Linked DNA regions of Astyanax mexicanus. The protein of the gene in region 2 interacts with the protein of the main gene of each other region in a pairwise test. Links are inferred from orthologs where the notes say so. Each region holds a gene or a part of one and is shown on either strand. Other genes may lie near its edges. The genes, in order: mitochondrial import inner membrane translocase subunit TIM44, araf and nelfcd.

What was found.
Region 1: the proteins of araf (region 2) and mitochondrial import inner membrane translocase subunit TIM44 interact in binary tests that used the Homo sapiens proteins (3 or more experiments, as listed by UniProt). The link is inferred for Astyanax mexicanus from reciprocal best matches to the Homo sapiens genes ARAF and TIMM44.
Region 3: the proteins of araf (region 2) and nelfcd interact in binary tests that used the Homo sapiens proteins (3 or more experiments, as listed by UniProt). The link is inferred for Astyanax mexicanus from reciprocal best matches to the Homo sapiens genes ARAF and NELFCD.

The regions. Positions count from the first base shown.
Region 1 is NC_064411.1:48,748,454-48,752,208, reverse strand, and holds the start of mitochondrial import inner membrane translocase subunit TIM44, read left to right. Parts: upstream 1-891; 5' UTR 892-936; coding exon 937-966; intron 967-2,287; coding exon 2,288-2,383; intron 2,384-3,755. UniProt on the Homo sapiens protein: Essential component of the PAM complex, a complex required for the translocation of transit peptide-containing proteins from the inner membrane into the mitochondrial matrix in an ATP-dependent manner.
Region 2 is NC_064429.1:9,224,419-9,228,173, reverse strand, and holds the start of araf (serine/threonine-protein kinase A-Raf), read left to right. Parts: upstream 1-1,049; 5' UTR 1,050-1,129; intron 1,130-1,270; exon of another isoform or gene 1,271-2,854; intron 2,855-3,755. UniProt on the Homo sapiens protein: Involved in the transduction of mitogenic signals from the cell membrane to the nucleus. May also regulate the TOR signaling cascade. Phosphorylates PFKFB2.
Region 3 is NC_064412.1:43,669,256-43,673,010, reverse strand, and holds the start of nelfcd (negative elongation factor C/D), read right to left. Parts: upstream 2,523-3,755; 5' UTR 2,404-2,522; coding exon 2,356-2,403; intron 2,140-2,355; coding exon 2,027-2,139; intron 130-2,026; coding exon 20-129; intron 1-19. Other genes in the region: atp5f1e (ATP synthase subunit epsilon, mitochondrial), read left to right, coding at 2,886-2,917, 3,106-3,229. UniProt on the Homo sapiens protein: Essential component of the NELF complex, a complex that negatively regulates the elongation of transcription by RNA polymerase II.

The DNA.
Region 1 (3,755 bases), on a different chromosome or scaffold from region 2:
GCCTAGAGGCAGCTAAAAGCCTGCAAGTGGCAGCTGCCAGTTAGTTAGTGGCATTAATCAGCATGGCAGATTTGATTTAAGTTTATTAACCCTTTCAATGGTCAAATTGTGACAGCCAATCATAAGTATTATGATAGTAGCTTGGCCCCACCCACTATCCATTGGAAAAATAGAGTAAACACCACCCCACAATATGATATATATTTTTTTACTGCTTAGGAATGTTTTGTGAAATAGAAAAAATATAGATAATGAATATATCATGGTTAAACCAATTATTCTACTTTTTTATTATTCCATAACTTATAGAACAGAAACAAGAAAAAAAAAATATTGATGTATTTATTTATTTATTTATTTATAATTTTATAAATTATTAATTGTTTTTTTTAAAAGCACCACCAATGTTTGCGTGCAGTTCAAATACAGATTTATTTTTTTATTTTTATTTTTGTTTATATTGTTAATAGAACAGAGCCAGGAAAATATATATATATATATATTTTTTTTCTCTTTTATTAAGAATGCACTTTCTGCAATGCTCTTAAAAACAAGACTCAGAAAATAGATAAATAAAATAATAAATAATCCAATATACATTAAATAGTTTTTCTTATTTTTCTTTGTTCTGTATTGTATTATTAACAAAATAAACTAATTTTAAAAAAAAAATAAAACATACAGTTTAAATGCTAAGTTAAAAAAAAAAAATATATATATATATATATATATATATATATATATATATATATATATATTGTCATTAATATAATATGAAAAACAAATAAGTTAAAGAATATTTCTAGAGATGTATTTAAATTTATTTAGTATTACATTTAATGATTTAATGAACATGACCTGTTACACGTACGCCACCTCCCCCCGGATGACGTCGGTGATCAGCTGACCCGCAGTGTGACGCAACCTGAGTGAAAGATGGCGGCGTCCTTGTGCAGGTGCTCTGGGGTGAGGTTACTGTTAATATGCGCTGTTTCTGCGGTATTTGGCGGCTAAATATCGGCAATAAAGCGGCGATAGATAAACACGCAGCTGTGTTATATTGGCAGCGCGTGGAGGGGGCGGGTCTCTGTGTTTCTGTCTCTTTTCTGCTTTCTGTTAATCCGCATTGCAGATCTTTCAGCTTCCATCCATTCATTTCTAGCCAACACTGACTACATATACATGAGCTACTGTGTGTGTAACATTCACTGCACGTTTTTGTATTTTCTGTCGAAATGTCTATAGAGATATAGCCTTTAGTGTTTAGTTATTATACTTAGGAAAAGAGTGCTAGGTGACTATTAAAACTCAGTCATGGAGCTCCTCATGGGGTCTCCAATAGACTTGTGGCTGATTGGGGACAGGAGTTCTTATTGACAATGAATGGAGGTGAGACCATGGATATTGTAGTAATCACTATTCAGTGCTAGAAGACACGATGATATGATAAGAGTTTAGATATGGTCTGATTTAAATAATCTTTAAAAGCCCACTTTACCTATTATTATCTACTTTTCACAACTGCTTTCAGCACTCCTCTGTTTCTACACATTTTACATGTGCATAACAAGGTCAAAAGTGTGGATACATCTCTTCTAATTCAATATTTTCCTTCTTTATATGATTTTTTACATTGTAAATTTAATATTGAAGACTATATTACAGCTATACAGGAAGACATGTTGAATAAATATGTAAACAAAAAAGGTTTAACCAGAATATGTTGTATTCTTTAGATTCTTTAGAAGTAGCACATTTACCTGTTAATCTCAGTGTCTTCATGAGGGAGAGGCACCTGGAATAGTTTTCTCAGCATCTTGAAGGATTTTCTGGAGGTGCTGAATGATAGTTGGTGCTTTTCCTTCCTTCACACTGTGGTTTAGGTTTAGGTCAGGAGATTGTGGAGAACAAACACTGTTTTTTTTACTGTGTAATGAAATAAAAACATTAAATAAGGAGGTGTATCCAAACTTTTGACTGGTACTCTACACCTCACTGAATGGAAATATTACCTGCTATACTGTTTACAGTGGACTATCTAAGTGTTCTATTATATTGTTACATTCTTATTTTAGTCTCATTTCTGTTTCTTGGTTTACTGTGATATGCAAATTTCCCTCTGGCATTATTAAAGTTTTGTATATAGCTAGATGACCTAGAAATGATTTGGTCTTAAAGACAAGACCAATGTAAAATAAAATATAAAACAGTAATAATAAATGTAAGAGAGTGGTTTGAATGTACTTTTTAATAAATGTGAAATATTTAGTGTTTTTCTGTTTTGCAGCTCTTGCTCAGGAGAAGCACAGTCCTGTCTGCAGCATGTCGGAATCCTGTGTTAAGTTCAGGCAGGGTCCAGGGGTGCCAGTCAGTGGCTGTACAGGTAAATCACCTTCTCTTTCAGACATCAAGGTGGTTTGAACTGATGTTGGTGTGTGGTTTATTAATATATAAAACCATCTCATCACGATTTTACTTTTTTTGTTTAATTACTACTTGCAGTATTTCACCTAACATAATGTTCGTAATGTGAATACTTGTATTTTTATTAATACTTTATTTATATCCTTTGTAATTGTTAGAAGAAAGAAGTACTTTTCAGGACTTCAGTACTAGCCATTAAACAGTGCTCATTAAGCAGGGAGGGCTATGGGCCTTGCTCAGTGGCCCAACATTGGCAGCTATTTTATTGAAATATATTTGTTTATTTAATAATATAATATGGGAAATAAATAAGTTAAATATTATTTCTACAGATGTAATTGACTTTATTTAGTATAAAATTTAAATCATGACCGGTCACACGTACGCCACCTCTCTTCAGATGATGTTGATGATCAGCTGACCTAATAACTATTTACAATATTATACATTACATGATGTTCTGTACATACTTGTATGTTTATTTATATTTTATTTATATAATGTATAATTATACGAATTGAGCAGAAAGGGCTAAGGGCCTTGCTCAATGGCCCAACATTGGCAGCTATTTCAATTAGCTTCTGTGATCAAATTTACAGAGCTGGAGGTATACAAAAATATCAGTACGTAGCAAGGTATTGTGATTTTATGTTTTGCTATATTTTATTGCTTCATTTTTCTTCAGGTTTCCCCCTTTATGTGCAAATATGCATCAAAATTAAACAAGAAAAGAAGAAATGATGGTTGTTTGCCACACGTCCATGTTCAGAACCACACAGCTAAGGATAGGAATGAAGTGCTGGTGAAAACCAAAACTTCAGTAGCAGAAGCTAGTTACCTCAGACCTCCATGTCTGATTGGTTTGATTCGGTGGTCTGTAACAGTGCCGATTGCTGCTTGCTGCTGAATTGTGGCTACAAATCACATCTATAAATTGCGTCGTTGCTTAGAAAATGGCTGGCCATGTGTCGCTCTGTTGCCTGCTAGTCTGAATAAAGGGTCATATTTTGTGTTGCTTACAGTTTCACAGTATATTTCCATATATTGCAATATATGGAAGTGTAACTTTCTACTTTCTTTTATATTGTAGTAAGTATTGTATCCAGATTCTTGCCAATATACAGTTAAACTACATTAACCTCTAAGCCAATTGAGTTGTTGACTTCTTTCCTGACTCTGAAGTGTATTTTGGCTCAGTATCTTGCTGAGTAATGAAGGATGACCATGTTACATGTGACCCTGATGTGTTGATGTACTTGAAGGATGATTTTTTTTGTTGAATAAAACGAAGCTCATATTTGAGCAGTGCTGAGTTATATAAACGATTTTTA
Region 2 (3,755 bases):
TTTTTTTTTGTTAACAAGAAGTGCATATATGTATATGTATGTAAATCCAAAACATTTTATAGCTCCTTTTTTAAGTTGGTCCTAAATTTTAGGGTTGGCAGTAGAACATACAAAACACATTTCACAGAACTTAAATTAGACCAAATAAATTAAGTGATTAGAAGTTTTAATTTGTGGGATTTTGACACTTGAAAGTAAGAGGCAGGGGTATAAAGGAGAAATGGGACTGGGCCATAGACTAGACCTGGTGGATGCTTTTATTTGGCCTGTAGAGAAAATTTACAGCAGCTGAAGAAACAAGTGACAGATTAAAACAACACTTCAGCAGTATCTCACTGCACTGCAGAGGTCAAACAGTGCATTTAGCCTGTAGCTCAACATACTGAGGGCCTGAGCTGCCCTCTAGTGTTCTAACTACACTGTAATTACACACTTACTGCACACACTGCCTTTAAACTATCTTATTAAATAGTGGTTTAAAATCTGAATTTAAATTACACTCTTTATTTATGTATCTATTTATTTTTATATTTAATATTACTATCTAATATCATATATACATCTTATATCATTTACATCTTTACAACTCCTCTTGCATAGTCTATAGATAACACTTATTACTCACACATATTATAATTGTGCATCAGCAGTATATTTTTTATTTCTTGCAAATTCTTAATATATATTTTTATTTTTTTACGTATGCACACTCCTGTCTATCTATCTATCTATCTATCTATCTATCTGTCTGTCTGTCTGTCTGTCTATAAGTAAAGTAAGCAGTAAGAGTTTTGTGGATTTGACCGATCCTTTGATCTGTAAAACTCTTTTGACCAATGAGAGACGCTATTTCTCAACAACAAACCAATTACATCTCAACAGGTGGGCGTTCCTTTCATCGTGTAGCCAATCAGGGTAGCGTTTTCTAAAAACAGACCAAACAGATCACAAGGAGTAGGCGTTCCTTCCACAGTGTGGAACACGTTTCACCAATCCGGGACGCGTGCTTTAAAAAGAGACCAATCCGAGCGAAGATCTGCAGCAACCGGGCCAATCAGAGCGCTCCGCTGCGCGTCTGAAATCTTCTGATCCGACTTCAGATTGAGAGAATTCAAGATGGCGGGCTCAGGTGAGTATTTACTTCAGCAGCAGAGTGAGGGAGAGTCCGCGGGGAAACAGCGCGGGTCCGGGGGGGAGCCGGGGGCAGGGAGCAGCAATAGCCGGCCGGCTCGGCTCGGTTCGGGTGCCGGTTCGGGGGGACCCGGGTGGCGGGCTGCAGCGGGACTTTCTGAAGCAGAAGAGCAGCTCGGCTAACAGCAGCTAGCCTGTTAGCTTAGCGGCTAAACACAGCTAATCCCTTTCCGCCTCACCGACACGGAGCTGCCGCTCCTCCGTACCCGCCCGGACCGAACCCCGAGCCCCGCCGGTCCTGCCCGGCTCCACCAGCGGAACCGACTCACCCACGGACCCCGCTGCGGGCCCGGGCCTGCCTGTGCTATCGGGCTAAAGAGCTGTGAGTGTAGCTACCGCTCCACAGCAGGGCTGGGTGATTTATTCAGATATCAGTTGTATCACGATATTTACCTGTAACCTTTTTACCTATAACATTTTACCGTTTTACCGATATACCGAGAGATATCACAATATACTGGCATTCATAAGAAATGCACTTGTAGCAGCAGATTCTTAAAATGTATTAAATATTACTCCTTGTACTTACAGTAGTCAATTTACCTTTCTGTCTGCCTTGTGTGTCTATCTATGTACCTGTCTATGCATCTGTCTTGTCTGCCTGTCTATCTATGTGTCTGTCTGTCTTTCTATGTCCCTGTCTATGTATCTGTCTCTCTGTCTTGTCGGTATGTCGGTCAGTCATCTGTCTGTCTGTATCTTATCTGTCTAGCTGTCTGTTCATTTAAAAACCTGTCTGTCTATCTATGTACTTGTCTTATCTATCTGTCTGTCTTTCTATATACCTGTCTTATTGTCTGTCTGGTTTGTCTGTCTGTATATCTAAAAAATGGCTAAAAAGTTTATTTTTTAGGGATTTAGGCCTCACTCTGATGAGAATAGGTTATTGCACAGAGCATGTGTAAGAATCATTTTAAACTTGGTGGGTGTGATGCGGTCCAGAGCAGATGAATCCGATTCCAGGTTATGTTTAGTAAGAGAGTGAGAGAGAGAGAGAGAGAGAGAGAGAGAGAGAGAGAGAGAGAGAAAGAAAGCGCTCAGTGAGAAATTTCACTCCTTCGTTTCTTTGGTTTTACCATGAGTAAATAAACTACTGAGCTCTGAGTTTCCTCTTCTGAAGTCTCCACTGCTCCACCAGTCACTCGCTTTCAGCTGTAAAAGCGTAAAACTGAGCCGGATCCTCTTTTAGAGGCTGTACGTGTGACATAAGTACGTAAAGACGCGTGACGTGGCCAGAAGAACTGTAAAAAGCAACCCGACACCCCAGTTTTTAGACTGAATATATTATTAGGCTTAGCAGGGATGTTTGCTCCAGCACAATGGTACAATTAAACGCAATATTTTATCCACATTCTTCTCCACTCAGAAATGCTTCTGCTTTCAGTTTAGAAACTAAATAACATGGACTTCTGCTTTAATATCAGTGTTCTTATTTTAAAAAGGTGTTTTAAATTTTGTCTCTGAGTGGTATTAATTAAAAAGGTGTGAAGAAGTAACCTGTCCTGATCTGAGTTTGGTTTTCTCTCAGGGCTCCTGTGGATTATCCTACCAGCAGGTGGAGCTTTCTGTAGCTTATCAGGTGTTTGTGAGAGGCTGGAGAGCTTTGATCAGGGGTTTCCACACCTTTCCTTAGCTTTCCTGCACAGGTTCAGCTGAGGTTAAGGTGAGCAGTGCACGAGTCAGGTGCCTGGTGCGGTCCTAGCGAATGGAGTAGTCAGGTGCTGGGAGAGGATATGAAGCTGTGATTGGACAGAAGAGTGATTCAGTTTCCCAGACAGGGATTAAGCCTAGTCATGGATGGATATATTTAAATGGATATTTTCCATTGAAAAGAAAATTTAGTCTATGACTTGGCTTAATCCCTGCCCTTTAGTCTGTCTGTCAGTATATAATTAATATAAGATTTATATACAGCATTAGACAAAAATAAGAGGCAACTTAAAAACGATTTTCTTTGATTTTACCAAATTGAAAACATCTGGAATATAATCAAAAGGAAGATGGATGCCATCCAACCAAGAATTTTTGCACCATGAGTGTCATAAAGTTATCCAAAAGCAGTGTGTAAGACTGGTGGAGGAGAACATGATGCCAAGATACATGAACAAAAACTGTGATTAAAAAACAGGGTTATTCCACCAAATATTGATTTCTGAACTCTTAGAACTTTATGAATATAAACTTTATTGCATTATTTTTTTTGCATTATTTGAGGTCTGAAAACTGAAAAAAATGCTCTAAATGGCAATATTTGTATTTGGAATTTGGGAGAAAGGTTATATATACCAATAAATAACAAAATCAGAGAAACCGATTTAGAAAATTAATTGGTCTCACGCTCAATTTGTTCCAAAGCTATATAAGCGATGTGTAACTAAAGTGTAACTAAAATACTGTAGTCATGTTTTGAGTTCGAAGTGGATATATAAGTACAGTTAAGTAACAAGTGCTGAGTCAACATTTAGCTCATCTTACGGCTCATGTAGCTTTTGTGGGGTTGCCAAGTATGTCTTGCATCAGTGAAAGTCTGTGTCAGCGTTAGAACTTGAAATTCCTGTTCCTGG
Region 3 (3,755 bases), on a different chromosome or scaffold from region 2:
GTGTTAAAGCAGTACAAACCCATCTGAATGAGCCACTCAGCCAGCAGGTTGACAGTCTGTGCCACAGCAGAGTAATTCTCTGACAGGAGCTGGATGACATGTTCAGGTGAACCACCTGCCTGAAAATACCTGTGAAAACACAGTGGAATTAGATTCTCGTGCATATTCACAAACATATATATTTACACTGCCTGGCCAGAAAAAAAAGTCACACACTCTAACATTTTGTTGGACCGCCATGCTCCCTAAACCACTCTTTTACAATTTCAGCCCAATGAATCCTGTCATGTCATCTTAAAATATACCTGTGCCATCAGGGAAGAAAAAAAAAATTGATGGAATAACCTGGTCTATATTCAGTATAGTTCTCCTATTAGGCCCCAAAGCTGCTAGAAATAAATTATCAGACTTAATGCTAAATCTGTCTGACTTCTCAGTCACACCTGGTTCAGCAGCTAAAAACCTTGGAGTTATTATAGATTCAGATCTAGCATTCGATAAACACATATCTAATGTTACTAGAACAGCTTTTCTACACCTACGTAACATCGCCAAGCTAAGAAACACCCTATCACTGCGTGACGCAGAAAAATTAGTCCATGCCTTCATTACCTCAAGGCTAGATTACTGTAATGCGCTACTGTCTGGATGTTCTGGCAGTAAATTAAATAAACTTCAGCTAGTTCAAAATGCTGCAGCCAGGGTCCTTACTAAAACTAGAAAATTTGAGCATATTAGTCCAGTCCTGTCAGCACTGCATTGGCTTCCAGTCAAAGTCCGCATAGACTATAAAATTCTCCTGTTAACGTATAAAGCCCTACACGGGCTCGCTCCTGAGTATTTACGAGACCTCATCTCCTGTTATGAACCACCGCGATTACTTAGATCTCAGGGTGCTGGTTTATTAGTAGTTCCTAAAATTCAGAGGAGCTCTGCAGGAGGAAGAGCTTTCTCTTATAAAGCGCCTCAACTCTGGAATAATCTCCCCGAATATGTTCGGGACTCAGACACAGTCTCAATCTTTAAGTCTAGACTGAAAACTTACTTGTTTAGTTTAGCTTTTGGTAATTAATGTTTTTCCCTTTAGATAAGGCTGCAGATTCAGGGGTTCATGGACAGAGGGAATTGTGGTAAACTGAGATGCTGGTGCTGCTGTTCTCCCACTGCACACGGTCACTCAGGTTTGTGGACGGTGGAGTGGGTGGATGCCAGTGTTTCAGGGAGCCTCCATGTCTATGTTACCTTCTGGCTCTCTGCCTTTAGTTAGGCTGTTTTATTCAGTTCTGCCGGAGTCATTAGCCACACTCTGATAATGTTTTATATTCTCTGTTTTACATAAATTCAGTCAAAACTAATTCCATCTCTCTGCCTTCCTCCGAGTTACTGACTGCCCACCTGTCTGACCCGATACCGAGGGATGTTGGACCCTCAGGCTCTCATGTCCTCTGTCTGGCCAGACTGGAAGTTACTGAAGTCAGCTCTTCTCCATCCACCACCACAGATCAGCTGCTCATCATCCATCTTACTCTATAAGCCATTAGTGGAGCTGCTATACACCTGAATATATAAGACCTATGTGGATGTATGAAAGACTTTTTAAAATTAATTTAAAAGCCATTTGACCAGTGGTAGGATGGTCTCCCCTTTAATGTGAGTCTTGGTCCTCCCAAGGTTTATTCCTCCTCCTGCAGCTCTGAGGGAGTTTTTCCTTGCCTCCGCGCTCACTGGGGGTTCTGTATTATGTATTTTCTATGTTTAATGTTTTGCCTGATTCTTTGTCCTGTAATCATGTTTCTGTAAAGCTGCTTTGTGCCAACACCAGTTGTAAAAAGCGCTATAGAAATAAATTTGATTTGATTTGATATATATTTAGGTAGTCAACATACTGTTGCTGAACCTTGACCTGACCAACTGCAGCATCAACCCCACATCATTTACTCACTTACTTAAATCCAAGACTTTATGACCTGGCAGTGTATATATGGGCTCTGGGTGATTAAACAGAACACGTTTCTAAAGTACTTACGTTTTTAATGTGTTAAAGACTGTAGGCTCCATGATATAGTCTCTGCTGGAGAACTTCTGGAGGCAGTCCTCCTGGATCTTCCCATTTGCTTCTGCATCCATTACATATCCGTCCTTATTAACCAACACACAGAACACACACTTAGAAATTTTAGAGGCTGTAATGTCCTGTACTGTGAGTAATTTTCTAAAATAAACGCTTTATAAATGATCGCTAGGTAAATGTAAACAGCAAAACGCTGCATTTAAAGAAAAAACTTATTGTTGATCAGACTTGAACTGCTGCTGCACTGTTATTTAAGGTAAATTCAGCCTGGCACAGTTTCCCACCACGTTTCCGTCCCACTCTCCCGAACCGCTGTAATACTCCTCATCCATCTCCGCTGATCCTAGATTGAGTCCGCTTTATAATAACGATCTGTTTACAAAATGAACAAGAACCAGCTCTAGCACTGCGGCCGCATTAACTACACACACACACACACACACACACACACACACACACACACACACACACACTGCCGCCTGCTGCTCTGGAGGGGCAGAAAGGTCCGGACGAAAATAATACTAGATCTTGTGTTTTAGGATTATAATAACTGCTAAGGATAGTTGTTACTTACTTAATAAAATAATCCGTAAATTAAATGTAATATATATATATATGCGTTTTAAAGGTGATCTGGCTCCAGGCAGGGCTGCTTATTGTTCAGTAAACAGATGACTGACGCGAAGATGAACCAATAAGGAGGGACCGGATGTGGAGACGCTATTTCCTCTGGTAGCAGGCCTGCAGTTCGTCCTTGGTTGTCGTTGAGTTAAGGTTCCTCTCTCCGCGGATCCGCAGCAGAAGCAGAGTAAAGATGGTCGCGTACTGGAGGCAGGCTGGACTCAGGTACCGGCGGGGTTTAGTAGCTGAGCTGTGCGGATCTCGTGATGGTTATTAAAGTGTGTGTGTGTTGGTGTTGTGAAAAATACGCTGGTCTGTTAGCTTTAGCCTCAATGCTAGCTGTCTGAGTGACCCTGAGAGACGCATATGTTTCTCCTCCGTGTTTGTGAATATCCGCTTTTCTTTCCCTTCAGCTACATCAGGTACTCCGCTGTCTGCGCCCGGGTGGTCCGGGCGGCTCTGAAGCCGCAGTTCAGAGTAGAGGCTGTGAAAAATGCAGAATCCAGCGTTCGAGTTAATAAAGTGAAAACCGCGTAAAAATGTAAGTGTTTATCAGATTTTGTTGATTTATATTTAAACTATAACTATTTTTGGTGTGTTTCTACTAATATTCCTGCAAAGCAACGTTATTCATTCTAAAAAATAAACCCAGCAGGGTGTCTGTTCTGTCCGGGACGGTCTGCCTTTGACTGCCTTTTTTGCATACCTGAGCAGCCAGATTGCTGCTAATGGCACTGAGCTGCTGCGAACATGTAGATAAATATCTGAATGACTGTCTTTATCTGTTCATTCAGTGGTGAGACAGATCTAAAGAGAGCTGGCATGCTGAAAGAGCGCAACTCAGCCATCCTCATTAAAATCACCAGATTCATTGACTCTAAAAGGAGTCTACCACAGTGCACCTTTTAAAAATACTTTTTATCATGCTACGTGCACGCGCTTACAGACTGTTTAGCAGACCATCTCATCACTGCGAAATTCAACTTCTTGTTGAAACAACCCATTGACCTTAAATCTAATGGTTAGCCCTTGCCCTGCTGTTCATTTAAGGGCAAATGGTGAA